Lonchura striata: one gene and its partners. The protein of the gene in region 3 interacts with the protein of the main gene of each other region in a biochemical or structural test. Links are inferred from orthologs where the notes say so. Each region holds a gene or a part of one and is shown on either strand. Other genes may lie near its edges.

Region 1 (7,034 bases), on a different chromosome or scaffold from region 3:
CAAAAGTTTCGTGTCAGAGATTACTTCTATTATTCAAATCCTGTTAAGAAACCGGACTGGGAGTGTTTTCACACACACACACACTCTCCTTCAGGGCCAATTAAAGCACATAATGTGCCCAGCTCTGCATGGACAGGAACATTTCCAGATTTAAATTTGCAAGACACATCCCTGCTGTTGAGAAAACACAAGCGTCTTGGCAAAGGCAACCACAGTTTCTGGTTTCGTTCAGCCTGCTCTCTTTTTTTTCAGTTTTTCCTGGTGATTCTAAGAGTGCAAGGCAAGCCTTATTTACTGGTTGAAGTGAACTCACACCAGGTGACATTGCTGGGGCTCTCTGCAGCTGAAGAGAGGCCGGAGGAGCAGAGGAAGTGCTCCAGGCCAGCCTCTGACTCAGTAAGGCACATACACACAAAGGCAGAAATATTTTATGCCTCTGCTCCAATCTGACAATTTTCTCAGGGGGGAAATTAAGGATCTACAAGTGAGGTCCAAATCAGAGTGATTTGCAATCCTGCATCCTCCCCAGGCTCCATCTGTTTGTCTCTCTGCCTGGCGAGAGGGTCCTTCCAGCTCCAGTGCCCAAGCCTCTCCTCCACAGCAGATGTTGCAGAAAGGAGACGCTTCCAGAGGTTAGTCCTCAACAAGGAATTTAATTCAGGCTCAAATAGTTGTGAATTGACATCTCAAGGCATTTAATAAAACCCTTCCTTTTCAGTTTTTCCATCCCACCCCATCAAAATCTTTGATTGAAAAGTTCATGTGTTGGTTCAAGCCTTGGTTTACTTGTAAGCAAATTCACGTGCTGGTGCTGGAAGACAGATGTTCCAGTCCTGGGGAAATATCATCCTGTCCCTGAAAATGCCACATTAAATGGCAATTAATAACAAATAAAGTAAAGAACTGAAAGCAAATGCAATGCCTTATAAGCAGCAGGCTTAAGTAAAATGAAGACTGAGAGAAAATGCCTGGAATGAAAAACAAAGATATTGGACATGACTTGAAAAAGTTTTAGAAATTTTGGACCTTCTTACTGGATTAGGGTTATGAAAATTCACTCACAAGCTTCAGTATTAGTGAACTAGACTGGATGTGTCATCGCTGAATGCTGGAATTCTTCTAGGCAGGAAAAGACACATCTAACAAGGGACAGTCCCTCATTGCTAAAGGACTGAAATCCAAGTGCTTGAAATGGTACTTGAAGCGACAAAGATCCAAATTTGGGCAGCAGAAGGGTCAGAGATTTGAATAAAATTTTCATAATTCTGAGGGCAGAGTGAACACTGGTCAGAAGCACCTTTTTCACCTCATTTATAAACAGGAATACGTGACACTTCATCAAGTTCCAGTGCAGCAAAGTTTGAAACAGCACAGAGAAACTTTCCTTTATAGTGCAAACACCTAACTTGTGGATCCACCACCAAAGCCCAAGATGGTAGGATTTAAGGAAATCTGGATATTTTACATTCCCTATTGAAGCCTGTTATAATGCAAACTAAAATCATATTAAAGATAATCAATTTTCATGCTCCAGGCAATAAGGAGATCACCTTGGGAGAGGAGGCAGAGAATATTAATATGTATTTTGGGGAGGCTTCCATACAATAAAGTTTCAGGAACTGGCTACTTTTCTGACAAGGATATCAGGATAGAGAGAATATTCCAGCCAGTTCAGAATAACTATTTCTAAGGTATCCCATCCAGTACAGAGCTTGATATTTTTTATTTAAAGAAGGATCAACCTCCCATAAGCCACTGCCTTTGTATGGACATGCAGTGGCAGCACCTTTTAACTGAGTATAAATCCAAGCTTCATTAGAACTAGGGAAAAACTTCATTTTCTCAACAGTTGCTCCAGTGTAACTATTTTCAAATGTATTGGGGAACCTTCTGCACTTTGGACCATATTTTACATTTATTTTCTACTTCTTCTAGAAATTGATTTAACACACAGACACTACCTCAATGCTGTCAGATCTGTATTTATTTACAAATTTTCCCTATGAAAAAAAAGGATTTCCTGAATTCTGCAATGACTTTTTAAATATTGTTCTGATCCTTCCCAAGTGGATTCCTTCATTTTGGGACAGTTTCTGAATCATATAAACTCAAAATTGAGAAACTCATAAAATTTTTGCTGATGTAATTCAGATTGAGACTCTGAAAGATTCTCCAGCTTGAAAACCAGTGGTTGCTTGCTGCAAACTCTGCTGGCATTTCAAATCCTGTTGAGTTTTATTTCCTCAAATGAAGGAAAAAAAATGCAAGTTCACTTTTCTCAGGCACTTTACTCCTTTTTATCTCCTCCATGTCTCCTTTTAGGAACCCTATTTACCAAATGCTTCTCCTTCTACATTAGCTACTAATTCTCTGCCCCCACCTTTAACTCATAACTTTGCAAATCCCAAATTCCAGCCTGGTTTGGGTGGGAAGGGACCTTAAAACTCATCCAGTACCACCCCTGCCATGGCAGGGACCCCTCCCACTGTCCCAGCTGCTCCAGCCCCAGTGTCCAGCCTGGCCTTGGGCACTGCCAGGGATCCAGGGGCAGCCCCAGCTGTGCCAGGGCCTTACACCCTCCCAGGGAACAATTTCTTCCCCAATTTCCCATCTAAATCCCAGTTCCAGTTTAAAGCCATTCCCTGTATCCTGTGCCTCCATCCCTTATCCCAAGTCCAGCTCTGGTGGAGCTAAGCACTGCAAGGGGGCTCGGAGCTCTCCCTGGAGCTGCTCCTCCCCAGACAAACACCCCTGGCTGTGTCAGCGCACACATCGCTGGTTTTGGGATGGATTTTTACACAATTCTGGGTTTGGGCTGGATTTTTAAACAATTCCGTGTTTTCCTCACACGTGCAGCCCGGCCTGGCCTGCAGCCCCAGCCAGGCCGCACCGGCATGGAGCAGAGCCCAGGTTCTCCTGGATCCCCCCGGAGCAGAGCCCAGGTCCTCATGGATCCCCCCGGAGCAGAGCCCAGGTTCTCCCGGATCCCCCCAGAGCAGAGCCCAGGTTCTCATGGATCCACCCAGAGCAGGGCCCAGGTTCTCATGGATCCACCCAGAGCAGGGCCCAGGTTCTCATGGATCCACCCAGAGCAGAGCCCAGGTTCTCCTGGATCCCCCGGAGCAGAGCCCGGGTTCTCCTGGATCCACCCAGAGCAGGGCCCAGGTTCTCATGGATCCACCCAGAGCAGAGCCCAGGTTCTCCTGGATCCCCCGGAGCAGAGCCCGGGTTCTCCTGGATCCCTCCGGAGCACAGCCCAGGTTCTCCTGGATCCCCCCGGAGCACAGCCCAGGTCCTCATGGATCCCCCCGGAGCACAGCCCGGGTCCTCATGGATCCCCCCGGAGCAGAGCCCAGGTTCTCCCGGATCCCCCCGGAGCACAGCCCAGGTTCTCATGGATCCCCCCGGAGCAGAGCCCAGGTTCTCATGGATCCCCCCGGAGCAGAGCCCAGGTTCTCCCGGATCCCCCCGGAGCAGGGCCCGGGCTCTCCCGGATCCCCCCAGAGCACAGCCCAGGTTCTCATGGATCCCCCCGGAGCACAGCCCAGGTTCTCATGGATCCCCCCGGAGCAGAGCCCAGGTTCTCCCGGATCCCCCCGGAGCAGAGCCCAGGTTCTCATGGATCCCCCTGGAGCACAGCCCAGGTTCTCATGGATCCCCCCGGAGCACAGCCCAGGTTCTCATGGATCCCCCCGGAGCACAGACAAGGTTCTCCCGGAGCAGAGCCCGGGCTCTCCCGGATCCCCCCGGAGCACAGCCCAGGTTCTCATGGATCCCCCCGGAGCACAGCCCAGGTTCTCCTGGATCCACCCAGAGCACAGCCCAGGTTCTCCCGGATCCCCCCGGAGCAGAGCCCAGGTTCTCATGGATCCCCCCGGAGCACAGCCCAGGTTCTCCCGGAGCAGGGCCCGGGCTCTCCCGGAGCCCCCCGGAGCCCCCGGCAGTCCCCGGCTCTGCCTCTTCCCTTCCCCCGCCCGGCTGCGCCTTCCGGCGGCCGCGGCCCCGCCCCGGCAGCGCGGCCTGTGCGGAGCGGCCGGGCCGGGGCAGGTGCGGAGAGCGCGGGGCACACACAGGGACCGACTGGGAGAGACTGGGACAGCCGGGGAGCTCAGGGACAGCCGGGGAGCTCAGGGACAGCCGGGGAGCTCAGGGACAGCCTGGGAGCTCAGGGACAGCCTGGGAGAGGCCGGGAGGCTGGGCAGCCCGGCCTGGGGAGCGGGGGATGATGTTCTAGCCGGGGCAGCGCAAACCCGCCGGGGCTGCAGGGGAACCCGGCCTCCGAAAACGTGCTGGTTTTCCTCCGTGCTGGGGAAGGGAGGATGGATGGCAGCAGGATGGGCTGACAGCGGGTTTTGGTGAATCTCCAAAATGTTCTGCGAAGGGCTGGTTCCGTCCCTGGAGCATCCCGGGCGCATTCTGTGCCCCGGGCGCGGCCGTGGATGCGGTGGGCAGGCGGCAGTGCTGCTGGATGTGCTCCGAGCGGGTAAACTGCACCTAAACCATCGCCCAGCAGCCTGCCCAGGGTGGTTTTAGAGTTTTCCTCGCCGGGAATATTCCAGAAGGATCTTAGCGCCGTGCTGTGCCATGTGCTCGGGGATGGCACCACGTGGGCTCCTGTGGTCCCTCCCAGCCTAACCCTAATGCAGAACAAATTAATCTAAAAATATCCTTTCAGCACTTATATAAAAGCCAAGCTCTTGAGATGTTTTAAAGTAACTACAATAATGTAATTGCATGCAGATTTTAAAGCATGGTAAATGTAAAAAGCTGTTTAATTTATGTGCCCCTCCCAAATAAACCATATTCGTGGTGATGTGTATCTTATTTTTGTGGAGTGGAGCTCTTATTGAATGGTGAGGTGCAGTCTCTGCAATGTTCCAGTTTGAAAAGTCTCAGTTTTCAATACTGGGGCATTACATGGGTGCTGTGACAGTAATTTCTCAGCCACCTTTTGTGCCCAGGCTTGTGCCAACCCTGCACAAGGCTCATCATTTGGAGGGGTTTGTTGGAATGACAGAGTTCCCTTGTAAACCTGATGAAGGTTTTGGCCTCCAAGCACTGCCTGTCTCCCTGATGCACTGGGGACTAAAGTTGGGGATGTGGACTTACTTTCTCTGGGGCAAAATCCACCCTTTCAATGTAGGAAATGTCTAAAACCATCATTTTCTTGTGAATGTGTCAGTCTGTGACATAATCTTTTCCTAGTAAAAGTTTTGTTTGCTTTGTTTTCTAACAGAAATGTTCTGAATGTGGACAGTTCTACCAAAATCTTCAGGTTTCAGCAGGAAAAAGATGTGGCTGTGTGAGCTTGCGAGGCGGCTTTAGCAATTCCTGTCTGCATTCTGGCCCATGAAAGGTTCATTACACCAATTATTTCAGCAAGAGAACAGAAGCTCTATAGGAAACCGTTGTAGTTAGAGAGCAACTTGTGTTACCGTGGCTGCTTTACCTCTTGATAATTCTGTAATTAACTTGTCACCACAGTTTAATGCTTCACCTATGCAGAGGATCAGTTCATGGCATCACTGAGGGGATCAGGGCCTGGAGGAGAAGCTGCTGCCCTTTGGGAGGATTCCTGGGGTTGCCCCGAATGGCTGAGTTAAGGACTTGTGCAGGAAAAGCAGGATGTTTGTTATGGGAAGTGTGCCTGAGCTGGAAAGGTTGCACCTGAGCAGTTCTGGTTAAACTGGTGACAGGGGAAATACCTTGAAGGAGCAGTAATGCCAGAAGTCCTTTGCTGGTTTTGTAGTGTTTTCGGGGTTTTTTTCCTATACAATAACGGTTTTGGAGGACTGAGAACAGCTGATGCTTGTGAATTAACCCTCAGGGTGCTGGCTGGACTGGCAGTGTGTAATTTCCTTGTCCTCCTCCTCTGGTGGCATCCTCACCTGCGGGGTTGCAGAGTGGTTGTTCAGGTGTTGGTGCTGGAAGAGCTTCATGGGAACAAATTGGAGATCCAGGTGTGTTGGGGTGTCAAAATTAAACAGCAGCATCCAGACTAGTCAGCTATTCTTCCTGGGATACAGCTGACCTAAATTGCACTTGATTTCTGAAAGAAAAAGCCTTTCTGCTGGTGAGTTATTATGTCATAGTTCACAGAGTAATATCAAAGAATGGTTTGGGCTGCCTTAAATCCCACCCTTTTCCCCTCCCACTGTCCCAGCTGCTCCAGCCCCAGTGTCCAGCCTGGCTTTGGGCACTGCCAGGGATCCAGGGACAGCCACAGCTGCTCTGGGCACCCTGTGCCAGGGCTGCCCACCCTCCCAGCCAGGAATTCCTGCCCAGTATGATGATGGATCAGGGGTTCATCCTTCTGGGCAGGAATTCCATTCCCACCTCAAATTCTGAATGCACGGAGCTTCTAAATCCATCCTGCAGGCATTCATATTCCCTCTGTCACTGCAGGGATTTCCTGCATCTCGATGCTCCAGCTTGTGGAGCTGGCACTGCCCGTTCCCAGAAGTTGTCAGGGAAGCTGGATACACATCCCAGCCGTGGCATAACTCGGAGGAGCCAGCACTTGTTAACTCTATTTGTTTTTATTATGGACATCGATCTGCCAGTCGCAATAATGCATTTATGGACATTTTTCTGCAAGCGCAGCGCTGGTGGCAGTTTTTACTGACAACTTGAGTCATCTGGACAGGAGTCGAAAATACGTTTATTTTATTGACGGATTGTGCAATTCTCTCGTTTACCCAGTGTTCATAAGATATCTGGACTGGTGAGGAGAATGTAACTGATGGGAAAATGGAGGATGAAGTTTTAATTTTGGGTTTGGAATCTTTTTGGTAGCGACAGGTTCCAGAATGTGTTCGGAATAGGTTTGGGAGCTTTAACTTCATTAATGCTGTAATTAAAAAGTGAAAAGCTCACTGTCCTTACAGCAGAATTCCAGGCCTGAATCCCCTCCCTCTGCTGATAGCTGGGAATGGTACTGGTTGGTAATTGTGCTGATTTATCTGAAGGTATAATGGGTAAAATCCTCCTAATGGAAGGAAAAACTCCTGTTGAATTTAGTATTTCTGACATAT
Region 2 (6,891 bases), on a different chromosome or scaffold from region 3:
AATCCCAGGACTTCATTTATTCCCAGTTAGAGCCGGTCGCTGCGGTGCCAGGGGCTCTCCCAGCAGGGATCCCCAGCACCGGGAGCAGCCCTGGCTCGGCCACAGCTCCCTGCACAGCCAGCAGAAGGTGCTGGGCTGCCCAAACTGCGGGGAGGAAAGCTGGCTGTGGATAAACACCAGCACTGAGGAGGAGGAGGAGGCTGAGCGGGAGGAAGAGCAGCTCCCACAGCTGGGAAGGAGCCAGGAGAGCTGGGAGCAGCTCCCAGCCCCAAGCAGGATGAGCTCAAGCGACATGCCGGGACAGGGATGGGCTGAGTGGGACATGGAAAAGCCACCAGAGCTGCCCAGAGCCACTCGTGGAGGCACGAGGGACACACAGGGCTCCTGGCACCTCAGCTGTGAGGAACCCAAAGGCACGTGGAAAACTTCCCATCCCTCTGGAAGCTCTGGCACAGCCCAGTGACTCCATCATCATCGACCATCCTCCTCCTCAGAGGGCTCCTCACCCTCCCACTGCCTCAGGAGCAAAGCTGACTGCGCAGGCTTGGGGGCTCAGCTGAGGATTTCCCAGTTTCTGCAGGAAGATGGACTTTGTGGGCTCCCCAAAATCCCCACTGGCAGCTGCCAAGGAGCCTGGAGGCCGACTCTGATTTCTGCAGCTGGGAAAGTCCTCCCAGCACCTGCATTTTGGATTATGTTGCAACAGCATCAGGCCCGAGGCAAAGGGAGGAGGACACAGGTGGGATTCTCTGTCACTGCCCAGAACTGGAAGCAGATGTCGACCAAAAAAAGCTCCAAACCCTTCCAAGGCACGGAGCTCACAGGTCCCTGCACTGCCTCTGCCTCCAGGCAGGCCCAGTGTGGACTGAGAGATGTGCCTGAGTCAAAACACCCAAAATTTACATGGAAAACTTCTGCCTGAGCAGGATCTGCAGGGTTTACCCACGGCTCTGCCATTCCAGGCGCAGGAACCTCTCTCCTGTTCTCAGTGAGACCTGGGAGGATGGGAAAAGGCAGGATGGGGAGAACCAAAGGGATTTTGTACCTCGGGAGGATCTACCTTTGCACGATGTATTTTAATGTTCCTTCCAGCTCCTTCTCCACCAGCTGCAGGGAAGAAATGCAGGATTTCCCTGTGATCCATGTTGGTGCCCAGGGATGCACGCTGGGATGATCCCAGGACAGCCCAGAGCTGGTGCCAGAGGCACAGCCACAGCTCCTGAAGTACAGCGATCACAAAATAAATGTTTTATTTTAGGATCACAAGGTGCTCAGGCAAAGATCCAGTGCTGAGTCAGAGCTACAGCTGACTAGAGCGTCCCCTACATCCTCCACAATAAATAAATGGGGTTTTTTGGGGAAAGAATGCCCAGGGCACACTTGAGAAAATGCTTGTGCTTAAAAAAAAACGTAAACAACTGTTTCCCCCCTTTCTGAAATATTTTCTCTCTGTTTTATTATCTTTTAAAAAAAAATTTCATGCTCCCAATGCTTTCAAAAAGATATTCAAAAGGGTTCAAATATTTACTCTGACCACCTGAAAGATTTTCTCCCACTGTGTTTTTATTGCGCCAAATGCAAAGAAAAACTTTTTGGTTCAAATAAACTTGAAACAATTCCTTCTCCTCCCCCTTTCCCTCCCATATTTTGGTTTAGCCAGCGAGTGGAAAAATCAATTCTTCGCACTCCTCCAGCCCGACAAAAAGCTTCAGGACTCCACAAAGAGGCTCTGGGGAGCAGCTGTGCTGTACAGCAAATAAACCTGCCTCAGTTTCTCTGCTTCCTCTGGGTCACCCAGGACTTCGTGCTGAGGTCGGCGCTGCTGGGGTGACACAGGCAGTGCAGGGGCCAAAGAACCATCACTGGGGAACTAAAACATCCTCCTGGTGGGACCTCAGATCTTCATGGGGGACTAAAACATCCTCCTGGGGGACATCAGATCCTCCTGGTGGGACCTCAGATCCTCCTGGGGGACATCAGATCTTCATGGGGGACTAAAACTTCCTCCTGGGGGACATCAGATCCTCATGGTGGGACATCAGATCCTCATGGGGGACATCAGGTCATCTTTGGGACATCAGGTCCTCATGGGGGACATCAGATCCTCCTGATGGGACATCAGATCCTCATGGGGGACATCACATCCTCCTGGGGGAACTAAAACATCCTCCTGGTGGGCCATCACACCCTCCTGGCTGCCACACGTGTCTGGAGGCAGGGCCTGAGCCCGTGCCCACCCCACGGTGACAGACAGCCCAGGGGACAGCACCGGTGCCCCCGGTAGCCCCTGCCCTGCAGCTCCCAGAGCCACAGTGCCTGCAGGGAACGAGGTGGGAAGGACTGGCAGAGATAAATAATGCTGTGATTTCTCAGGATGCAGTCTCCAAGCATGTTTGTGGTCCCGGGGTTTTTAAGGGTGAATTTATGTATAACTGCAGTGGAAGTAGGGTTTTTAAAGCAAACTACGCATTAAAATAAATCAAGATTAATTTCTGGAGCCTTTTCTTTCCAGCCTCCAGCTGGCTGCTGTGTTTGCTTCAGCCCTGTAAAATCTGGGAGGAAAGCAGATGAGGAAGGAGAAGCTGCAGAAGAAGGCCTGAGAACCTGTGTCACAGGAATGTGACACTCGGGGCCAGCACTGTGACAGCTGCTCTGGGTCACGTCCTCTTGTAAAAGATTTCAAGGAAATGAAGGTGAGGAATGCAAAAAGGTGAAGACGGGGATCTCTGTGTTCCATTAAACAAACTCAGCCCAGGTGAAACCTGGGTGGCCTCTCCAAGCTCAGCCCAGATGGAGCCGGAGCCTTTCCCCACCAGGAGTCATCGAATTTGGAACGGTTTAGGTTGGGAAGGGCCTTAAGGGACTTAAAGCTCCAGTGCCATCCACCCAGTGCCACCCCTGCCATGGGCAGGGACACCTTCCACCATCCCAGGCTGCTCCGAGCCGCGGCCAGCCTGGGGACACTTCGGGGATGCAGGAGCAGCCACGGCTTCCCTGGCACCCGTGCCACAGGGAGCCGTCGGATCGTGCTGCTCGGGGCTTCTGGCCCCGGGGCTCCACCAGCCGCTGGTGCCGATGCCGGTGCCGGTCCCGGTGCGGCGCCGATGCCGGTGCCGGTGCCGGTGCCGAGCCCGGTCCCGGTGCGGCATCGGTGCCGGTCCTGGTCCCGATGCCGGTCCCTGTGCCGATGCCGGTGACGATGCCAGTCCCGGTCCCGGTGCCGAAGCCGATGCCGGTCCCGGTCGCGATCCCGGCGCCGATGCTGGTGCTGGAGCCGGTCCCGGTGCCAGTGCCGATGCCGGTGCCAATGCCGGACCCAGTGCGGCGCCGGTGCCGATGCCTGTCCCGGTCCCGATCCCGACACCGATGCTGGTCCCGGTGCCGATGCCGGTGCCGATGCCGGTGCCGGTGCCGGTGCCGGTGCCGATGCCGGTGCCGGTCCCGATGCCGGTGCCGGTGCCGATGCCGGTGCCGGTCCCGATGCCGGTGGCGGTGCCGATGCCGGTGCCGGTGCCGATTCCGGTGCCGGTCCCGATGCCGGTGCCGATGCCGGTGCCGGTGCCGATGCCGGTGCCGGTGCCGGTGCCGGTGCCGGTGCCGCCCCGTCCCTCGCTGCGGCTCCGCCCCGTCCCCTCCCGTCCCGCCGCCGTCCCCGCCCGCCGCGCTCCCGGTGCCGCGGGGCAGCCGCAGCATGGCCGAGCTGCGCATCGCCCCGGCCCCGGCCCCTCGCCCCGCTGCTGCCCCGCTCCCACCGCCGCCCGCAGCCCCGGCCCCGGCCCCGTCCCCGTCCCCGGCCCCGGCCCCGGCCCCGGCCCCGGCCCCGGTCCCGACCCGCCCCTCGGCGCCCGCCCCGGGCCGCCCATAAAAGCGGCCCCGCGCCCGCCCCGCTCCGCCGCCGCCGCCGCTCCGCCGCCGGCCATGGCCAAGGACCAGCTGAAGCCGCGGCTGTGCCGAATGCTGAAAGGGGAGAGCGGCTACGGCTTCCACCTGCACGGCGAGAAGGGCAAGAGCGGCCAGTTCATCCGCAAAGTGGAGCCCGGCTCGCCCGCCGAGGCGGCGGGGCTGCGCGCCGGGGACCGCGTCGTGGAGGTGAACGGGCTCAACGTGGAGCAGGAGACGCATCACCAGGTGCGGGATGGAGCGGGGCACACGGGCACCGGGGCCGAGCGGGGCCGTGCCCGCTGCAGCCTCCCTGCGGCGGGCAGAGCGGGGGTTTCACCCAAAATATCCCCGCCGGAGCATCCCCGGCCGGGCAGCGCTGGGCTGGCCGCAGCGGTGCGGTGGATGCTCCCCCGAAATGCCGGGGCCGGGCTTTGCGTGGCCCGGGATCCGCAGCTCCGTGCGGGGTCGGGCTGCGGGCGCAGGACGCTGCAGTCGTGTCAAGGTGGGGAAGGCGAAGGTGTGCGGGGCTGGGCAGGGCTCTGCCGCGTTATGCAATCTGTGGTGGAAAGGAATGGGGAGACCCGGGCTTTATTTCCGGCTCTGCCGTGGGTTTTCTTGGCTGCTTCGGGCGAGCTGCGCCTGCCTGTGCAGCCCCGAGTGTGGGAAGATGCCTGAAAATCTGCAGATAAAGCCGTGCAGATGTTCGGCAGTTGGGCTGGCCGGGGAGCGATAGGGCTCGGAGGGGAGCCGTGGCTCTCCCTGACCACGCTTGGGCAGGTCCAAGGCTGCCGTTTCTCTGCTCTCCAACAAAAGCTGTTTCGGGCTGTGGCATTTTCTCCTTGTAAAACTGAAACTTGGATTTGTCAGACAGTTTAGTCTAAAAAACCCAAAAAATGCGGAAAAAACAAAACAGCAAGCAGCGAGGTTCGAGCTGCTCCAGTCCTGCTGGACACTCGGAGCCTGGCAGGGGCACAATTTGCCTCGTGGTTTGTGGAGCTCTGCAGGATTTGGTGTTTTAGTAACTTAAAACATCTGCTCAGCCCCGCTGCCAGCGCTGCATGGGGGCAGAGCTGGGATGTGCCGTGACCCCACAGAGTTTTGGGGGGCCGTGTGTTCCCAGACCTCACTCCAGGTGTGCATGTTGCCGTGCTGGAGGTGAAACAGCCTTCCAGGTGGCTCCAACAAAGCCTGGTGGACTCCTCTGGATGAGCCTGGTGGGGTTTGGTGGCGAGTTGAGCTTGTTTTGACGCTCCGAGCCAGCCGTGTGAAAGTTGATGTTTGTCCTGAGTGGGATTTCAAACCCCTTGAAGGAGGATCCCCATCTTTGATGTGGCTGGCCAGGAAGGAGGGCTGGGTTCCTGTGGTGCCTTGGAAGCCACCAGAGCTCCCTGCTGGCGCTGGGCTGCTGGGGACGGGCGATAGCGGAGCCAGCTGTGCCTTTGAAACGTGCTGGGGCTTCCCAGTAGGTCAAGTGAAATGGGAGGGGGAAATTTCCATTTCTTCCTTTTTGTTTTTTCGTTTGTGTTTTTGCTGCTGGCGGCAGGATGGAGCGCTGGCACTCGCTGGCTGCTGCAGAGCAGTGATTGGAACGAGGTGTCCCCATCCAGGGTGTCCAGGAACTCGCCCGGTGCCCGCTCTGGCTGCCGTGGCATCTGAGAGCGAGAGTGCAAGCGCTGGGATCACCCTTTTTCCTGCCTCAATACCACAAGAACCTCTTCTTCCCCCAAAACCTCGCCAGCACTGATGGGCCGTGGCGAGGGCGATGCCCTGGTGGGTCACACGGTGGCTCTGAGCAGCCACCTCACCTTGGTCCTTCCTCGTGCTGCTCCTTGCCCAACCTTGAACAAGTAACACTTCTCCATGTGCCCTGGGGAGCCCGCAGCACACAAGGCCTTGCTCTTTGGGTGTAACTGTGTTTCCAGCCGAAGCTGGCAGCATTTTTGTCTTTGTTCTCTTGGTTTTTTTTCCTGGCCTTGCCCAAGGAGCGAAGGCAGAGCGTGCTCTGTCTCAGAGTTGCGTCCTGGGTTCCTCGGAGCCGGGCAGAGCCGCAGCTCCTGAGCACAGAAAGGTGCCCGGGGAGCCTGGCAGGATGGAGCAGGGCACGGGCACCTCTGCGGGAGCTGCTGCTGGCACCGTGAGTCCTTCCTGGGCGCTGCCGTTTGGCGAGGGTGGAAGGGCCCGGGGCTGGCGCTGCCGGGCTGGCGCTGCCGTCACCAGGGGTAAAGTCTGCTCGGGTGGGGCTGCGGAAATCCTGGGGCTGGGTCGGGTGCTGAGGAGGTCCCAGATGAGCAGGACGGGCTGCATTGTCTCCAGAAGCCTGCGGGACTCCAGGCTGGGAGCATGGCTCGGAAGCGGGTACGGTGCTGGGCAGGAGCTCGCCGGGAGCTGCTGCTTTGCCCCCCACCTCTCTGCTCTGTCCCCAGGGAGACCTGCTGCCTTGGGGGGCTCCTCACAGCCCCTTCTGCTCATCCTGCTCGTGGGGAGGGGGCAAGGGGCTGCTCTGTGCCACTCTCCACCCCTGGCACTTGTACCTTTGCTCCATCGCTGCTCTCGCTGTGGCTGTTGGGGGGCTCGGCCGTGGGGTGAGCCCAGCACTGCTCCACGCCAGCTTTGGACCCTTCTGTGGACCCTCTGAGCATCTCTGCGGTCTGTGGGACCCCTGTGATCCCCTGTGCTGCCTGCAGCACCCGAATTGTGGGCTCTGGGGGATGGCACTGCAGGGCCAGCACCTTCCCCGTCCGCATCTTTGCTGCCGAGCTTTGACTGCTGCTGCTGCCAGGTCCCCTCGGGGAGAAGTGCCCCTGCCCGGGCACTGCTGGTGCCAGCAGATGTGAAGGGATCTGAGCGGGAGCAGATGGATTTTCTGGGCCTGATGGATCAGCCCCTCCAGGCTGCTCGGGGGTGGGCTCCCGGGATCGCTGCAGTGGATGGCTTAGCTCAGCCCTGGCTGCAGCCTGGACATTTCTCGCAGGCTGGTTTTTTTTTTTTTTATTATTTTGTTTGCAGATA
Region 3 (7,765 bases):
TAAACAGGCTTTTTTGTTGTTTTTGGTTTGGGGTTTTTTTAGTTGGTTTGCTTGTTGTTGTTGTTGTTTGTTGTTTGTTTTTGTTTTTGTTTTTTTTTGTTTTGGTGAATGAATTTGTAGTAGAAAACCAGGATTGGTTAAAACATGATAAACTTAAGAATGGGAGCTTCAAAATTAAACTTGATGGGTGATTTCAGACAAAGAGAGAAACAAAGTTTATATTGTGTGGAAAAAATAAATTATGAAAACCTGACTCCTTAGTTTATAATAAGAAGTCTGTGGATTAATGCAAACTGGTAACTGATTTTGACCTAATTATGGCAAGTAAGTGGGATAATTATCCCACAACAGTTGCTGGTGGAGATGTCTCATGAGCTGGCCCTGCGGAAATTCCTTTGGAAGATGAGATTGGGTGAAGCAAATAATTTGTAGGCAGCAGTGTTGCAATCATGCTTCCTAAAAGGACTTGGAAAATGGACACTTGTCCCCCTGACTCTCTAGAGAGGGAAGCAGTTGTGATTTGCTTTGAAATGTGAGGAGGAATTGGCTTGTGAACTTCCTTATAGGCCTCCAGCAGGAAGTGATTCCTGTTGGCTGAGTATTTCTCAGAAGCAGGAAATAATAAAACAGTCACAGTTGCCAAAGCAGTTGATGGAGGTGTTCTCCTTGGCTCCCTTTGAATGGCTCTGAGGCAGAACAGAGCCTGATACATATTTCCTTTTCTACTGCTTTTTGATTAAAAAGTGATGCAGACGGTGGATTTCTGTTCCAGCAGATGAGTAAAAGATGAGACGTTTCAGCAGAAACCTTTTTCAAAATGAACCCAGATGCACTTACAGACCTAGGGTGATATTGATGGAAATATATAAAGAACTTCAGAAGTTATGCTTGTTACAGCAATAATCAAATGTTTTAGAGGAAAAAAAAGACAACATGTAAATCATCCAATGGGAACTTCTATCAGTGACAGTCTCTAGGATATTATCCAAATAGCCATACAGGAGAAGACCACATAAATGACACTTTGGAGTCTGGAATTCTAAAGCTGCTGGCCAGGAGGTTGGAAAAGCTGGTGCTCTGATTTAATGGCCATGTATATGCCTGAACACAAACAGTGAAAATGCTGACTCCTTGTCCAGATGGCCTGAACCAGAAGCAAATTGCAAACACTCCCCTGGGCAGAAGAGCAAGCCATGAGCTGCTGGGGGAATGTGCTCACTCAGGAAGAGGTGGCAGACGTCTTTCCTCCAGTTATTTACAAAGGAGGGATGAGTTCCTGTATCACCAACAGAACCTGAGTCCAGAGTAGGAAAAATGAGTGTCTAGGCAATTAAAAACCTCCCAGCAAGAGGAGCTGGTGTCACAACAGCACCATCCCAAAGGTGTCTGGGAGTGGAACACACCATGCCCTATAGCATCACTGTAAGAGCAGCCTGGCCATGGTGACAAAGCCTGATATTGGAGGTAAATATAATAAAAGCACTGTGTAAGTGCTGTGTATCCAAACTGCAGCAGCAAAAGAAGTTGTGTGTTAAATACAGCAGGGCAAGGATGTGTTCTAAGGGTTCACCTGGTTGTCTGAGCACACATAATGGGGATTTTTTTTGCCCAGTGTGACTAGTCACGATGTACAAATAATTGCTAGGTTCGAGATGAAATAGATGCTTTACAGAGAGAGACAGGAAAGCAATCCTACTGTGATCCTGTAGTGCTGTGACTGGTTCCATTTGGCTCTTCCCTGGGGCCTGACACGAGCCTGGCACATTCACCGTTGTTTCAGTGAATGAACCTGGTCCAGAGTCATTGGCAGGAAAGAAACTGGAATCCAAAATGATTCAGCAGGTCTGTGAGATTTTAAGGAACAACAAAATACGCAGGTTGCCCCAAACCCGATATAATCCAAGTTATGTCTCTCTCAGATTCTCCAGTTTTGGTGTCTGCATCTGTGATACAGCACAAAAGGAATGGAAATAAACACGTTTCATATTTCTTGATAGAATCCTAACAAGAGTACAAAATGTTTCTTGTGCTCCTCATGCTTTGGCATAAATTGATTAAGGCAAGAAAATCTATTCCCTCTGAAGAGGAAGAAGAGATTTGAAACATGTGCAGAATAGGTGGAGACCAAATTAAAAATCTTTATATTTCATTGGATTTCAGATCAAATTTGGAAGTAGTTGCTCACAAAATAAAATCCATGAAGCAAGGGCATATGGCAACAGTTTCTAGGGCATCTGGTGTGATTCTCTAAGTTTAGAGAAAAGCAGGGCCATCCCTATCATTGGTTATTTGGTGAAATGCCATGGACATTCCAGTTCTCCCAGGTTGCACTCAGAAACTGAGGCTTTTAAATTAAGATAGTATGTGGCAAGTTATTTCTGTTCTGTGCTGAGTGTCCATGTGCACTTTTCCCATCAGCAAATACGACTTAATTTGAGTTAATTAGCTGGCTTTCATTCTTGTGAAATAAAATGTCTTGCACATGCTTACACAGATAGACGAGTGTGTAGATATACTGGGGTAGGACTTTTAATGTGCATTTATTTTCCATATGTGTAAATTTGTAACCACGGAAATAACATTTATTAAAAACAATATGATTAATACTTGGTTTCTTTACTTTATGTATATATTGTGATTTTATATTAGCATAGTCATGATTTTTCTGAGTGTATTAATATGAGAGGGTGCCATGGCAGATGTTCCTGTGTCCAAGGAGTTGGGAATACTTTGCGTGTAATGTGAGTAAATGAACAAGTCTATTACTTCATGGAACACTTGATGACATAAAACCAAGGTAAAAGTCTGTTGTGTATGTGCTGAACGTCCTAATGAGAGAAAGAGACTTGGAGAATGTTTCCTACACTTTTTGTTGAGGATTTTGAAGTGAGAAACGCTGCGGGATGTTTACACTGGTACCCAAAGATCCCCGGCGCAGCGGCAGGACGTCCTGTGGCGCTGTGTGTGAGGTGCGCGGCGGTTCAGCGCTCGCATGGCTGGGGCTGCGTTTGAGAGCGGCAGGAAGGGGAGAGGTGTGCGGGGGAGAGCTGCGCTGTTTGTTGTGGTGCAGGAATAACGATGCTGGGGTGGGTGCAGGCAGCCGCGGCTCCCCGTGCTTTGTGACACGGCTGTGCCTGCGGCAGCTCTGCCGCTCCGGGCGGAGGCAGGCAGCGGGGAAAGAGGGATGGAGGTCACGGTCCTGCGGGGAGGGGACCTGTGGGTTTCCACGGCTGGCAGCGGGCAAACTGCGTGTGTGTGACCTGCGTGGGGCTGTGCGAGGGGCAGAGAGCGGACTGCTGTGTCTGTGTGGGCGTGAGGGGAGCCTCTGGGTGTGAGAGAAAGTGAGAGGGGACCTTGTCTGTGTGCGGGGGATCTGTCTGTGCGTGACCCGGGAATCTCTGTGAGTGAGGGTGTGAGGGAGAGAGACAAAGTGAGAGGGGAGATTCTGTGTGCGTGTTTTGAGGGAACCTGGGAGCGTGCGCGTGTGAGCGAGGGGAGCGTCGGTGTGTGCCTGTGTGTGAGGGAAGCCTGTGCAGGTGAACGTGAGAGAGAGACAAGAACCGGTGTGTGCCTGAGTGGAACCGGCGCGTTTGGGGGGAGCCGGTGTGTGTGAGAGCCGGTGTGTGTGAGAGCCCCGGTGTGTGTGTAAGAGAGAGAGAGATCCCGGTGTGTGAGAGCACCTGGTGTGTGTGTGAGAGCACCTGGTGTGAATGTTTGTGAGAGAGATCCCGGTGTGTGAGAGCACCTGGTGTGTGTGTGAGAGAGAGATCCCGGTGTGTGAGAGCACCTGGTGTGTGTGTGAGAGAGAGATCCCGGTGTGTGAGAGCACCTGGTGTGTGTGTGAGAGAGAGATCCCGGTGTGTGAGAGCACCTGGTGTGTGTGTGAGAGAGAGATCCCGGTGTGTGAGAGCACCTGGTGTGTGTGTGTGAGAGAGATCCCGGTGTGTGAGAGCACCTGGTGTGTGTGTGAGAGAGAGATCCCGGTGTGTGAGAGCACCTGGTGTGTGTGTGAGAGAGAGATCCCGGTGTGTGAGAGCACCTGGTGTGTGTGTGAGAGAGAGATCCCGGTGTGTGTGAGAGCACCTGGTGTGTGTGTGTGAGAGAGAGAGATCCCGGTGTGTGAGAGCACCTGGTGTGTGTGAGAGAGATCCCGGTGTGTGAGAGAGCACCTGGTGTGTGTGTGAGAGATCCATCCCGGTGTGTGAGAGCACCTGGTGTGTGTGTGTGAGAGAGATCCCGGTGTGTGAGAGCACCTGGTGTGTGTGTGTGTGTGTGTGAGGGATCCCGGTGTGTGAGAGAGAGATCCCGGTGTGTGTGTGAGAGAGCCCGGTGTGTGAGAGCACCTGGTGTGTGTGTGTGTGTGTGTGTGTGAGGGATCCCGGTGTGTGAGAGGGATCCCGGTGTGTGAGAGCACCTGGTGTGTGTGTGAGAGAGAGATCCCGGTGTGTGTGAGAGAGATCCCGGTGTGTGAGAGCACCTGGTGTGTGTGTGAGAGAGAGATCCCGGTGTGTGAGAGCACCTGGTGTGTGTGTGTGAAAGAGAGAGAGCCCGGGGCGCTGCGGGAGCTGACGAGGCCCGGCAGGTGCGGCCGCCCCCCCGCTCTCCCCGGCGCTCCCCGGCGGGGGCGGCCCCGCGCCCGCCCCGCCCCGGCCGGGGGCTCGCTCGCTCAGCCGCGGGCGGAGCAGCCGGCGAGAGGGCTCGGGATCCTCCTCCGCTCCGACGTCAGGCTGGGAGCGGGAGGCAGCGCCCAGCGCCGCCGCTGCCAGAGGCTCGGCGGCCGCCGGACGGGGCGGACGTCGGGGCGGCGACTCCCGGAGCGGCGGGGGGTGGGGAGGAGGCGCTATGGCCGACGTGTTCCCGGGCTCCGAGCCCGGCGCCGACCCGGAGGCGGCGCGGCGCTTCGCTCGCAAGGGCGCCCTGAGGCAGAAGAACGTGCACGAGGTGAAGGAGCACAAATTCATCGCGCGCTTCTTCAAGCAGCCCACCTTCTGCAGCCACTGCACCGACTTCATCTGGTGAGAGCCCGGAGCGCGCGTCCCCCCGCGCCCGCCGCCGCCCGGGCCCGCTCCGCCGCGGGGGATTCCCCGCCCCGGGCAGCCCCGGCTCCGGGGCGCCGCCGTCCCTGCCCTGCCTCCCGTCCCCGGGCAGCCGGGTCGCGGTGCGGCCGCTCTCGCCGGGGCCGGGCAGGTGACCCCGCCGGGGGTGACCCCCGGTGTCACCGCGCTGCCCCGGCGCTGTCGCATCCTCCTCCCGGCGGGTTGCCGCGGCTCGGGGGGCCCGGGGCTGGGCGCACCCCGCTTGAAGGGGCTGCGGGGGGGTCGCAGAGACCAGCAGGGTCTGGAGCCCCGCGCTGGGACCAGCGCTTCGCACTTGGTCCAGAGCTGTGTTTCCCACCCCTTGTCCCCGGGTTCTGCTGGGTGGGGGGCTCGGCCGGGCACGGCCGCGCTGGGACGGAGCGTGCCCGTGTCAGACCGCGGCGTTGCCGAGTGGCAAAACTCGGCTCCCCCAGCCCTAAGTCCTGGTCAGTGCCTGCCCTGCTCCCTCCTGCTGCCGAGGCCGGGCAGGCACGGTGACACCGCTGCTCCGGTCCACGCCGAGGAAAGGGAGGGGTGGTTGTTGTGAGGGAAGAGAGGCAGGAAAACTCCCTACCAACACGCTCATTACTGAGGTGGTAGGGAAGAATACACCCACGGGTTGGTGCCGTGCCGGGCAGGGCGGCAGCTCCGCGCAGGCCGGAGCGAGGAGCGGCGGCCCGGGCTGGCAGAGCCGGGAGAGCCGCGGGGGTCCCGGACCTGCGGGGACCGTGCAGCACAAACAGCTCAGGATTCCCCTCCTTCCCCTCGCTCCAGTCCTGCTCCGCTACTCAAGTTTGCGCTGCGGCTCTGGGTGCCGAAAGCGAGAGCTGTGATTTATTTTGGCCAAAGTTGTGAAAAGGTCTGCACGCAGCTGGCTCTGTGTCCGTGGCACGCTTCTTGCTCTTTTTATGTGTGTTTATGTGTCTGGACAGGGACCTTTTACTTCCTCTGCTTGCATGCTGAAGCAAAGACTGTGCTTGTGCCAGAAATGATTGAAATATATTTGCAGAGTTAAGGAAGGAAAGCTGACATGGTAGACTGCACAAGAAACAAGTCAAATTTCTGAGTTTATCTTTCTTTTAAATTTTTCTGGGGGGAAAAAAAGTGAAGTTGGGTATGGTAAAAGTGAGAGACCTTCAGAAACTGCTTCAAAGTTAATCTAAACCAGAATGAGTTGGGAAGTGTGAAAAACCGCGGCAGGGTTATTGCGAGCGGTTTTGTGCACACCAGCAGCACAATTATAAAACAAAGCCGAGCTCTGTCACGAATGACAGGATGGATTTGGAATTGAAAGGGTATCCTGTGGCTGACAGGTGGCAAGAGCGACTATGCTCCTGTCTTGTCGTGCTTGCTGAGCCTGGGGAAGCTCTTCACATTCCTTAGAAGAGCATCTGACACCTCGAAAACTTGTTTGTTTTCTGGTTTGGAGATGGGCTGCTCTCAAACAACCATCGCGCACCATTGAGTGTTTCCAAAATGACTTGTGTCAATTAACAACGTTGGAAGGTATAAAGAACAGTAAACACAACCTTTCAATGAAATACACAGATTCTTTCCCTTAGATTACATTTCATCACGTAATATGGATCACAATAGTTTAGTCTTTCCTCTTCAACAACTTTCGCCTCTCGGCTTTGGTTCTGGAATGTTGATATTTTTTAAAAGACTTTTTACTTAAAAATTACATTGTAACTGCTCGGAGAGTGCGGCTCTGCAGGGATTCAGTTCAGACACTGAGCCCCAGCCGTGCTTCTGGAGTACATAAAACAGGAATATTTGCAAATAGGTCTATTTCAAAGCTTTAAAAATTATCTCAGGTCTGTTTCATGTTCTTAGTCCCACTACCAGCTTTCCTATGATTGTATTTCCATGCTTCTAGCTTTTGAACTTTGTGAAGATGAGTGGTAAAAGCATCAGAGTGACAATATAGGCACATGTACTGCCAAGTAAAGAAATAATTCGATTTTTCTCCTGATTTCCCTAGTTCACGTTTGCTTATAATAACAAGAAGTAGCAACTTGTGCAGCAAAATGTAGAGAAATGCTCTGTGTCATTTCAGCTTCCTCCTGAAGGAACAGTGCACTGAAGGTCTTGTCTCTGCCATAAATAAATAAATAAAAAGTGGAGAAATTGTTGATACATTTTTTAAGAAATCATTTCCATAAAGTTGATAATTAAGCCACGTGTTGTTAATTGCACGCAGCTTCTCCAGCTCATGGCTTTTGTCTATTTGAGTGTGAGCAGCTCCAGCTCTTCAGATGAAAAACAGGCTGCAAAGAAAAAGGCAGAGAAATGTTTATAGGCAGGATACTCAAAACAGTTATTTTTGTGGGAAGAGAATGTTAGATGCTTAAAGATAAACAAATAAATCCACAGCAGTGGAGTTTGCCAGAGGTACAAAATGTGTTGGAACTCTGGATACCACTGTCATTGTGTTCACTGCAGAAGTGTTACACACACATTTGTATTTCATTATGGAAATGAAGCAAGGAAGCTGGAGAATAATCAGTATGAAAATCAGGGGCCTGGCTTCTTATTTGTGTTGAAACAAGCAAAACTTTTCACCTGTTTGCTTTCCATCCAGCAAATGGCTGGACTTCAGCTGAGCCTCACAACAGCAGCTTGTAATCCCAAAACCTGGATGAAACCCCAAGTCTGGTTTGTTTTACGTGCCTTTGCTGGAACTTGGA
Region 4 (7,641 bases), on a different chromosome or scaffold from region 3:
GTAAACGGGAAAGTGTCAAGGAATTTGGCCGGGAAAAGTGGTTTTTTGGAGCCCCTGGTGCGTCCCCTTTGCCACAGCGGGCTCAGAGCTGGCCAGGGAGTGGGGGGGTCCTTCCCTATTATACTGCGAGATTCCAGGGCATGGAGGAGCTAGGAAAGGCTGGGAAAAGCAGGACAAACATCCCTGTCCTCCAGCCCCCTGCAAACGCCTCGCGGTGCATCCCCCCACCCCTCCTCGGATGCTGCCGGCAGTCACCACCTCCTCCGCTGCCCTGGTCAGATCTGATGTGCAATAAAATACCTTGATTAAAAAAAAAAATACCAGGCGGCCAGACCCCACTGCGAGCCCGCCAGAGAGCCCTCGATTAATGACCCCTCGCATTCCCCTCCTCCGTTAATGATTTACAGCGGCTCCTCCCGGCCTGTCCCTCCCTCCCTCCTCCCCCACCATCGGCACCCCCAGGCCCCAGCAGAGGGGAAGGGGCTCCCGGCAGCGCCCGCAGGGATTTTCTCACCCCTGGCACATTCCCCGCGTGGGGAACACCGGGGCTGAGGAAGTTGCCAGCACCCCCAGCGTGGCTCAGCCTCATCTTTGCCCAGGGGGACGGCACCGGGCTCCATTCCTGCCTCTTCCCTGCTTGCTGCCACCTCCTTCTGCCAGGCGGGACCCCGCAGCCTCCCCGCACCCACCTGAGCCCATGTGCGGGAGCGGGGCCAGGGCTGCCCCCCGCAGCAGCCCCAGGCTTTGTGCTCCCGGCAGGCAGCCCCGAGGAGGTTTCATGTTACTGGGAAACTGGGATGGCGGGATGTTCCCGGGGCAGCCCCGCAGACAAAAGGCCATTGTGCAGCCGCGCAGCCATGGCTGCAGCCCCGGAGCATCCCGCTCCCTGCCACAGCCAGCAGCCACCCCAGGCCCGGGAGGTGGCACAGCCGGTGTTGGACCCGCCAGGGGCCCGAGCAGCTCCCCAAAACTCATGGGATGCTCCGGCATAGAGTGCCCAAGCCGGAGCACCCCACAAACGACCCCTTGCCCATCGCCATGCCACCAGCAGCACCCTCTCCATCCCGCGGGGCAGGAGTGGCACTAAACCAGACCCTGCTGGCACCGAGTAGGGGTGACGGGCAGGGACGTGTCCCCACAGGTCAGGACGTGCAGGTGAGGGGTGGCTGAGCCTGAGCCGCTTTCCAGCCCCACCGGCTGATCCTGCTCGCCCTGCGGCCGCCATGGATCAGCCTGTGCTGCCTCGGGATCACCAGGGTACAGGGAGTTATTTATGTGCATTTCCCGCTGCGGGGGCTGTGCTTATTGCAGCCCCAAGCACCCCGGAGCCCAGGGCAGGGGGAGCACCTCCAAATCCTTCTCCTCCTCCCACCGCCACCAAATTCTCCCCTGAAGCCCCAGCTCCGCGGTCCTGTCCCCACCACGCCCCATTAACGGCTGCTCCAGAGGCTCTGCAGGTGACAAACACACCCTCGTAATTAGCCAGGTGGCCCTTCTAATCACCCGACAACCTGAGCTGACTCAGAGGCTCGGGTTTCCCCTTTCCCAGGGAAATTAGCAGGAATTAGGCGCCCAAATCCCAAGCGCGGCTTTGCGGGGCTCGGTGGCAGTGCCAGGACGCAGGGCAGGGCAGGATAAGATGTGTGCCACTCAAGGGCCACCCTCTGGTCCCCCATATCCCCCCTGGGTGCTTTTTTGGACACCAAATCAGAGGTTCTGAGGAGCCCAAGGAGCTGGGGGTGATTTTTTTTTTCAGGGCACTTTCCAGAGGTGCAGCTTTTCCCAAGCGCTGGGCACCCGTTTCACCATCTGCTGTCTTCCCGGACCTGAAATATTGGCTAAATAAATCGAGATACGAAATAATTCATGTGTGCACCCCCCATTTGCAGCTCGTGCACCCCACGGCGCTGGTCCTGCAAACCCCGGGCTCAAATCGGCGCTTTAAGACTGTAAATTATCAGGTGATTTAGGAATTTGTCCGCAGAATGGAGCTGCAGGAAAACGCTGCCCTGGTGAGAGCTTAATCTGCTCCAGGGGTGAGAAGGAGGAAGGAGCCATTTAATCAAATTAACAGGCCTGGTTTGGGGTGGGTCCGGGGCTTTTTGGCCACATGGGGCTTCCTCAATGGGGCCATCGGGGAAACAAAGCCGGGAGGGGAAACAAAGGCCACGTCCCCATCCCTGTCCTCCCGCGCCATGGCCGGCCAGCCCCGGGAGCTCCCGGACCGGGACATCCCTGCTGGCATCCCGGGGGGCTCCCGGACCACCGGGACATCCCTGCTGGCATCCCGGGGGGCTCCCGTGAGCTCCGGGACCACCGGGACATCCCTGCTGGCATCCCGGGGGGCTCCCGTGAGCTCCGGGACATCCCTGCTGGCATCCCGGAGGGCTCCCGTGAGCTCCGGGACATCCCTGCTGGCATCCCGGGGGGCTCCCGTGAGCTCCCGGACCACCGGGACATGCCTGCTGGCATCCCGGGGGGCTCCCGGCTCCTCGGGCACTCCGGGACATCCCTGCTGGCATCCCGGGGGGCTCCCGGACCGGGACATCCCTGCTGGCATCCCGGAGGGCTCCCGGCTCCTCGGGCACTCCGGGACACCGGCTCCGGGCGATGCCACCCCGGCACGGCCCGGGCTGCCCCGCCGTGCCCCGCGTTGGGCTCAGCTGCGATGTGTTTCCCCATTTCCAGCCATTTTCAGCTTCTTCCCTGGCTGCAGAACTCAACGGCGGGATGGGGGAGCTTGCCCAGTCCTGCTCCCAAACCCACTCAGCCGCGAGCCGTAAATCAGGAACCCAAGTGCAGAAACAAAAGTGAAAATGTTCTTCTCAGACTGCAGCCCCGGGCTCTGCTCCAGCGCGGTTCTTTCGCTGTTTTGCCCTCCTTGCACGTGGCTGTGTGCCTGTACCTGGCTGCTAGGCCATCTCCCCACCTCTCTCTAGTTCTGGGGCATTCCTCCAGCTCTGTTTTTCTTCTTTAAAGACCAAGTGGACGCCCCACGGGTGAAGTCGGTGTGGGGAGACTCCAGCGTGGGCTCTGAGAGTGGGAAACTGCTGAAACTTTGAGGGATTGAAGCAGAGCAGCCCCGGTGGTTTGCAGAACTCGGGCTGCTGCACAGTAAATAAGGAGGGATATTAATAACAACGAGCCTCTGCCAGCACACAAACCAAGTTCCTCATTGGGCTCACGAGCCTGAGCAGAAGCTTTGGGGTAAAAGGCACCCTGACATATTCAAACCCAGGCAGGGCTGCCTGCAGGTGGGGAAACACTAATTTTAGCCCCAAAAAAAAAGGGTTTGCAAACAACCCCTGGCTGGACACAAGGCCCTGGGATGGGGGCTTGGATCAGGAGGTGCACGGGGTGCAGGCAGGGGGTGCCTGCTCTTCCTGCAGCTGTTTGGGAACAGGAAACCCTCTTGCAGGAGGGTTCGCCCCCATCTTGGCTTTTATTTTTTAATTGTCAGAAAGGGTCACTGCTCCGATTGTGTTTTAGGCAGAGGAATTTGCAGGGGATTTGAAAAATCCAAATAACAATTAGCAGAAACAAGTGCCCCAAGCCTGGCTGGGTTTGATTTGTTTTTCTTCACCAACATTCCCTGCTAGAGCAGTTTTGCACAGGCAGATGTTGATACTTTCACATTTCATCATCTTAAGGCTCTCCTTTTTTTTTTTTAATATTTTAATAAAAACTTTTCTGAAACTTAAATCCAGCTGTCTGAAGTTCAGATCCTCACTTCAGAGTTCAGCCCTTAGAGTCAAGATGGTCAAAAGCACCCAAATCAGTTTCCATTAGGTTTGTTATTGTTTGCACAGGAGTTTGCAAAAACTTCACACAACGGGATGCTGAGCTCTGGATTTCCCAGTATCTCATCGAGGAAAAGCACCACAAGACCCCAAATGCTCAACTTGTGTTGGAAACACTGCCCTGACACAGGGGGGGACCTGGGTTTTGGGGCACCTCACCCGAGAGCTGATCTCAGCTGACTCCACAACGACCCAAAGCACTTCCAAACCGAGCAGAGGAATTCTGAACAAAGCTCTTCCCTGCAGACTGAGCCCAGCACCTGCCTAAAGCCCCGGAGAGCCTCGGGGGCCCCCAGGAGCCCCCAAACCTCACTGTGCACCCAGCAGAACCTGCTCCCACACCAGCCTCCCCTTTCGGCGGTGGTGCTGCGGTAACGCATTCAATGAACACCGCAGCAGCATCCGGGGAGCCCCGGGGAGGGAGCCCCCCGACCCGGGGAGCAGAAGCTTTTTTGGGGAGCTGACCTGGTGGGGAGGCAGCAAACAGAAGGAGCATCGTGCTCCGGCCACCGGCACATGGCGATTGCCCCCGCGGGGCCACCAAACCCCAAAATACGGAAAGGGGAGAGCCACGGGTGTGACGATGGTGATTGTGGGGGGGGGGGGGTCACCCACAGTGGGGTCACCCAGCCGGGGGTCACCGCCACGACCCCGGCCGGGAGCGTTGGCAGAGGGGGGGATGAGGGTGTCTCCATCCTCTCCATCCTCCCCGGCCTGATCTCCACCCGCCGGGGGGGGACCCGGGGCGGGCAGGGCGGGCAGGGGCGCAGCCGCCGCCGCAGCGCTTTGAACGGTCCTATCGCTCCCGGCCGCGCCGCCCCGCGCCGCCCCCGCCGTGATGCGGCCCCGGCTCCGCCTCCCCCGCTCCGCCGGCGCTGGGAGCTCCCTTCGCCTGTTTGCCCTTATTTAATTTCGAGTGTGATTTTGCTATTTTTAGCAGCTGGATCCCCTCCAGTAAGGCTAGGAGCTCGCTCCGTTTTTTTTTTTCCCCCCCTCTCCCCCCTTTCCCCCCCACCTCTTTTTTTTTTTTTTTTTTTATTCCCCCCTCGTTCCCTTGCAAATGATTTTGACCCAGCTTCCTTCCTCCTGGAGCAATTTTTTTTTTTTTTTCTCTCGCTCTCTTTATTATTTATATAAATCCGCGGGGCCTGGCGGGGATGCGGGGCTGAGCCGCAGCCTCTCTCTTCTCCTTGCAGATCCGCAGTCGCCGCGGGCGGGGGGTCCCTTCGCTCCGCAACACAGACCCGCCGGGAAAAAAACAAAACCATCGAAAACCGGCCCCGAAACCCACGGCGAACGCCCGGCTCCGGGATCAAGCTGACTGTGAGTGCCACCTTCCTCTTCCTTCTGCCGCGGGGGGCCGGGGCTTCGCTTCCCCCGGCCGCATGCGGGGACGGGCCGCGTGCGCCTGCCCGAGCTGGGCTTCATTATCGCTATTAATTATTGTTAATAGCAGCGTGATGCACCTGGGGGGGTGGGCCGGGCGGGGGTCCCCGCTCCCACCGCCGAGCGACTTCGCTCCACTTATTGGGCTGCGGGTGATGCAAACGCCCCGCACGGCGCTCGGGGCCCCGCACGTTCCCGGGACAGCCCCGGGACAGCCCCGGGACAGGCACCGTGCAAGGTGCGTGGGGGCCGCGCACCCGCGGGTCGGGGCGAAGTTGCGGGGCTGGGGGCTCAGGCGAGCCCCCCCAGCACGGTGCCCCGCAGCCCGCCTGCAGCGCCGGCTCCACGAGGGGTTTTATTACACCGCCCCCCACCCCCAGGACGGGGGCTTCACAAAGCCCTGATGGTGCCCTTCCTGCCTCTTTTCTTTCTCCTGCACCTCCCTCCTTCCTTTCCTTTATCACTTCCTTTTATTATGCATCCCAGGAAGGAAGGGGGGGACTTTCCTCAATGGCAGCCCCGGGGTGGGGTTCAGAGCAGCCCCGCGGCGGGTCGGGGCTAAGGAGGAGCCCGCACATCCCTCCCGGCCCGCACCCCTGCCCAACAGGCTCTTCAACTTCTGCTCCACGATTCCTTCCCCTCCTCCTTCCCCATCCCTCTGCCAGGAGGTGCGGCTGGGATCCTTCTCCAGCTGCCATCAGGCTGGATTTTCTGGGCGTGAAGAGCTTTTATTTATTTTTTTTAATATATATATACATTTATATATATATATTTTTTTTTTAAGATCTAAGCCCCCCCCCCGCCTGTCTTCCCGCTTCTCCTGGGCCGGTTTGTTTAATCTAAAGAGTAGGTGGCAGGAGCGAGGGATTTATGGGGTTATCAGCACAGAGCAGCGTAAGGCAGCGCAGGCGGCTGGGAAGGCAGGACCAGGCCCGAGAGCAGGAGGGAGCATCGCTCCGAGGGGACAGGTTGGTCCTTGTGCGACCCAGAGGTGGCTGCTGCGGAGCAGAGGGAGCGAGGAGGAGGCCCCGGAGGCTGAGCATCCACAGGGACGGAGAAGGGGAGGAGGTTTCCTTCCCCCAGCTCAATGGAGAGGCAGATGCGGCCCCTCCAAACCGTGCCGAGATGCTCCCCCCGCCCCTGGCGAGCCCGGCAGCCCCTGCCCGCGTCCCCCACTGATTCCTCCCTGCCTGGAAAGGTTTTCTCCCTCAGCTGCTTCCTCTCCTCCATGGCAACCCAGCTGCTCCCTCCCTCCCTGCTCGGCTCTGATGGCGTGTGAGCAGGGCCGGGGCTGCTCCCGCCATGTGCCCGGCGTGGTCCCCGCGGGCCGGGGGCACTGCGGGCGGCTGGGGCGGCTCTCGGGAGCGGGGCTGCCTGGGAAGGGGCTGGCATGGCAGAGGAGCAGCCCCCATTTCCAGCATCCTCCTTCCCAACCCCCTCTGCCAGAGCCCCCCGAGCCCCCTCAGCGCTGGAGCCCCTGCGGAGGAGAGGGGGTGGGATGAGGAAGGATGGGGGGTGGGATGAGCAGGGATTGGAGATGGGATGAGCAGGAATTGTGGGGTGGGATGAGCAGGAATTGGAGATGGGATGAGCAGGAATTGGAGATGGGATGAGCAGGAATTGTGGGGTGGGATGAGCAGGAATTGGAGATGGGATGAGTAGGAATTGGGGATGGGATGAGCAGGGATTGGGGGGTGGGATGAGCAGGAATTGGAGATGGGATGAGCAGGGATTGGGGATGGGATGAGCAGGGATTGGGGGGTGGGATGAGCAGGAATTGGAGATGGGATGAGCAGGAATTGGAGATGGGATGAGCAGGAATTGGGGGTGGGATGCAGAGGGATGGGGGTGGGTGGAAGGTGCACGTGCTTTCCCCAGCACCAACAACTTTGCACAGCAGCTGCTTTGGGGGGCACAGGGCGGGCAGACCCAGCGGCACCCCCGACCCGTGCAGGGTTCCCTTGGCATTCCCAGCTGGAGCTGCTGTGGGGTCTGGTGGCCCCTCCAGAGGCGGAGAGCCCAGCAGGGTGGGGGTCATGCTGGGCCCATCTGTTTCCAGCTGCAGGAGGGGGCACGGAGCAGCTCGAGGCTGTGCTGCCTCTGACAGAGATTGACTTAAAAAGAGACAAAACCCCGTCCCAGCCCGACCAGCAGCCGGCCCTTTGCTGGCCTAAATCTAAACCATACTTCTTTTTTTTTTTTCCTAAGAGACTCCTTGAAGGGCTCTGGGATGCTGTGAGTAATATTTTCGGGGTGTTTACACTACAGCATGGTTTCTGTCTCCCAAAAAAAAAAAAAAAAAAAAGACTCTGAGGGTGGTTTTTGTTGTTGTTGTTCTGCACTCATGAGTCACTTCCAGAGGGGAGCAGGAGCTGACGCCTGTTTTTTGAAAAGGCTCAGAGGTCTGAGTGGCTCCTCGGGGCTGCATGTCCTGCCCACACCCTCCCCAGTGAGG

Evidence for each region.
Region 1: of the proteins of PRKCA (region 3) and MGMT, one has a biochemical effect on the other in vitro, tested with the Homo sapiens proteins (2 studies listed by BioGRID). The link is inferred for Lonchura striata from reciprocal best matches to the Homo sapiens genes PRKCA and MGMT.
Region 2: the proteins of PRKCA (region 3) and NHERF2 form a complex in vitro, tested with the Homo sapiens proteins (2 studies listed by BioGRID and IntAct, with this or other methods). The link is inferred for Lonchura striata from reciprocal best matches to the Homo sapiens genes PRKCA and NHERF2.
Region 4: of the proteins of PRKCA (region 3) and HMGA1, one has a biochemical effect on the other in vitro, tested with the Homo sapiens proteins (2 studies listed by BioGRID). The link is inferred for Lonchura striata from reciprocal best matches to the Homo sapiens genes PRKCA and HMGA1.

Annotation. Positions count from the first base shown.
Region 1 is NC_134609.1:31,246,683-31,253,716, forward strand, and holds the start of MGMT (methylated-DNA--protein-cysteine methyltransferase), read left to right. Parts: upstream 1-4,028; 5' UTR 4,029-4,047; intron 4,048-7,034. UniProt on the Homo sapiens protein: Involved in the cellular defense against the biological effects of O6-methylguanine (O6-MeG) and O4-methylthymine (O4-MeT) in DNA. Repairs the methylated nucleobase in DNA by stoichiometrically transferring the methyl group to a cysteine residue in the enzyme.
Region 2 is NC_134618.1:16,766,022-16,772,912, forward strand, and holds the start of NHERF2 (Na(+)/H(+) exchange regulatory cofactor NHE-RF2), read left to right. Parts: upstream 1-3,878; 5' UTR 3,879-3,918; coding exon 3,919-4,128; intron 4,129-6,093; exon of another isoform or gene 6,094-6,222; coding exon of another isoform or gene 6,223-6,237; intron 6,238-6,891.
Region 3 is NC_134621.1:9,051,206-9,058,970, reverse strand, and holds the start of PRKCA (protein kinase C alpha type), read left to right. Parts: upstream 1-4,748; 5' UTR 4,749-4,842; coding exon 4,843-5,015; intron 5,016-7,765. UniProt on the Homo sapiens protein: Calcium-activated, phospholipid- and diacylglycerol (DAG)-dependent serine/threonine-protein kinase that is involved in positive and negative regulation of cell proliferation, apoptosis, differentiation, migration and adhesion, tumorigenesis, cardiac hypertrophy, angiogenesis, platelet function and inflammation, by directly phosphorylating targets such as RAF1, BCL2, CSPG4, TNNT2/CTNT, or activating signaling cascade involving MAPK1/3 (ERK1/2) and RAP1GAP.
Region 4 is NC_134632.1:4,219,132-4,226,772, forward strand, and holds the start of HMGA1 (high mobility group protein HMG-I/HMG-Y), read left to right. Parts: upstream 1-4,634; 5' UTR 4,635-4,754; intron 4,755-4,996; 5' UTR 4,997-5,123; intron 5,124-7,641. UniProt on the Homo sapiens protein: HMG-I/Y bind preferentially to the minor groove of A+T rich regions in double-stranded DNA. It is suggested that these proteins could function in nucleosome phasing and in the 3'-end processing of mRNA transcripts.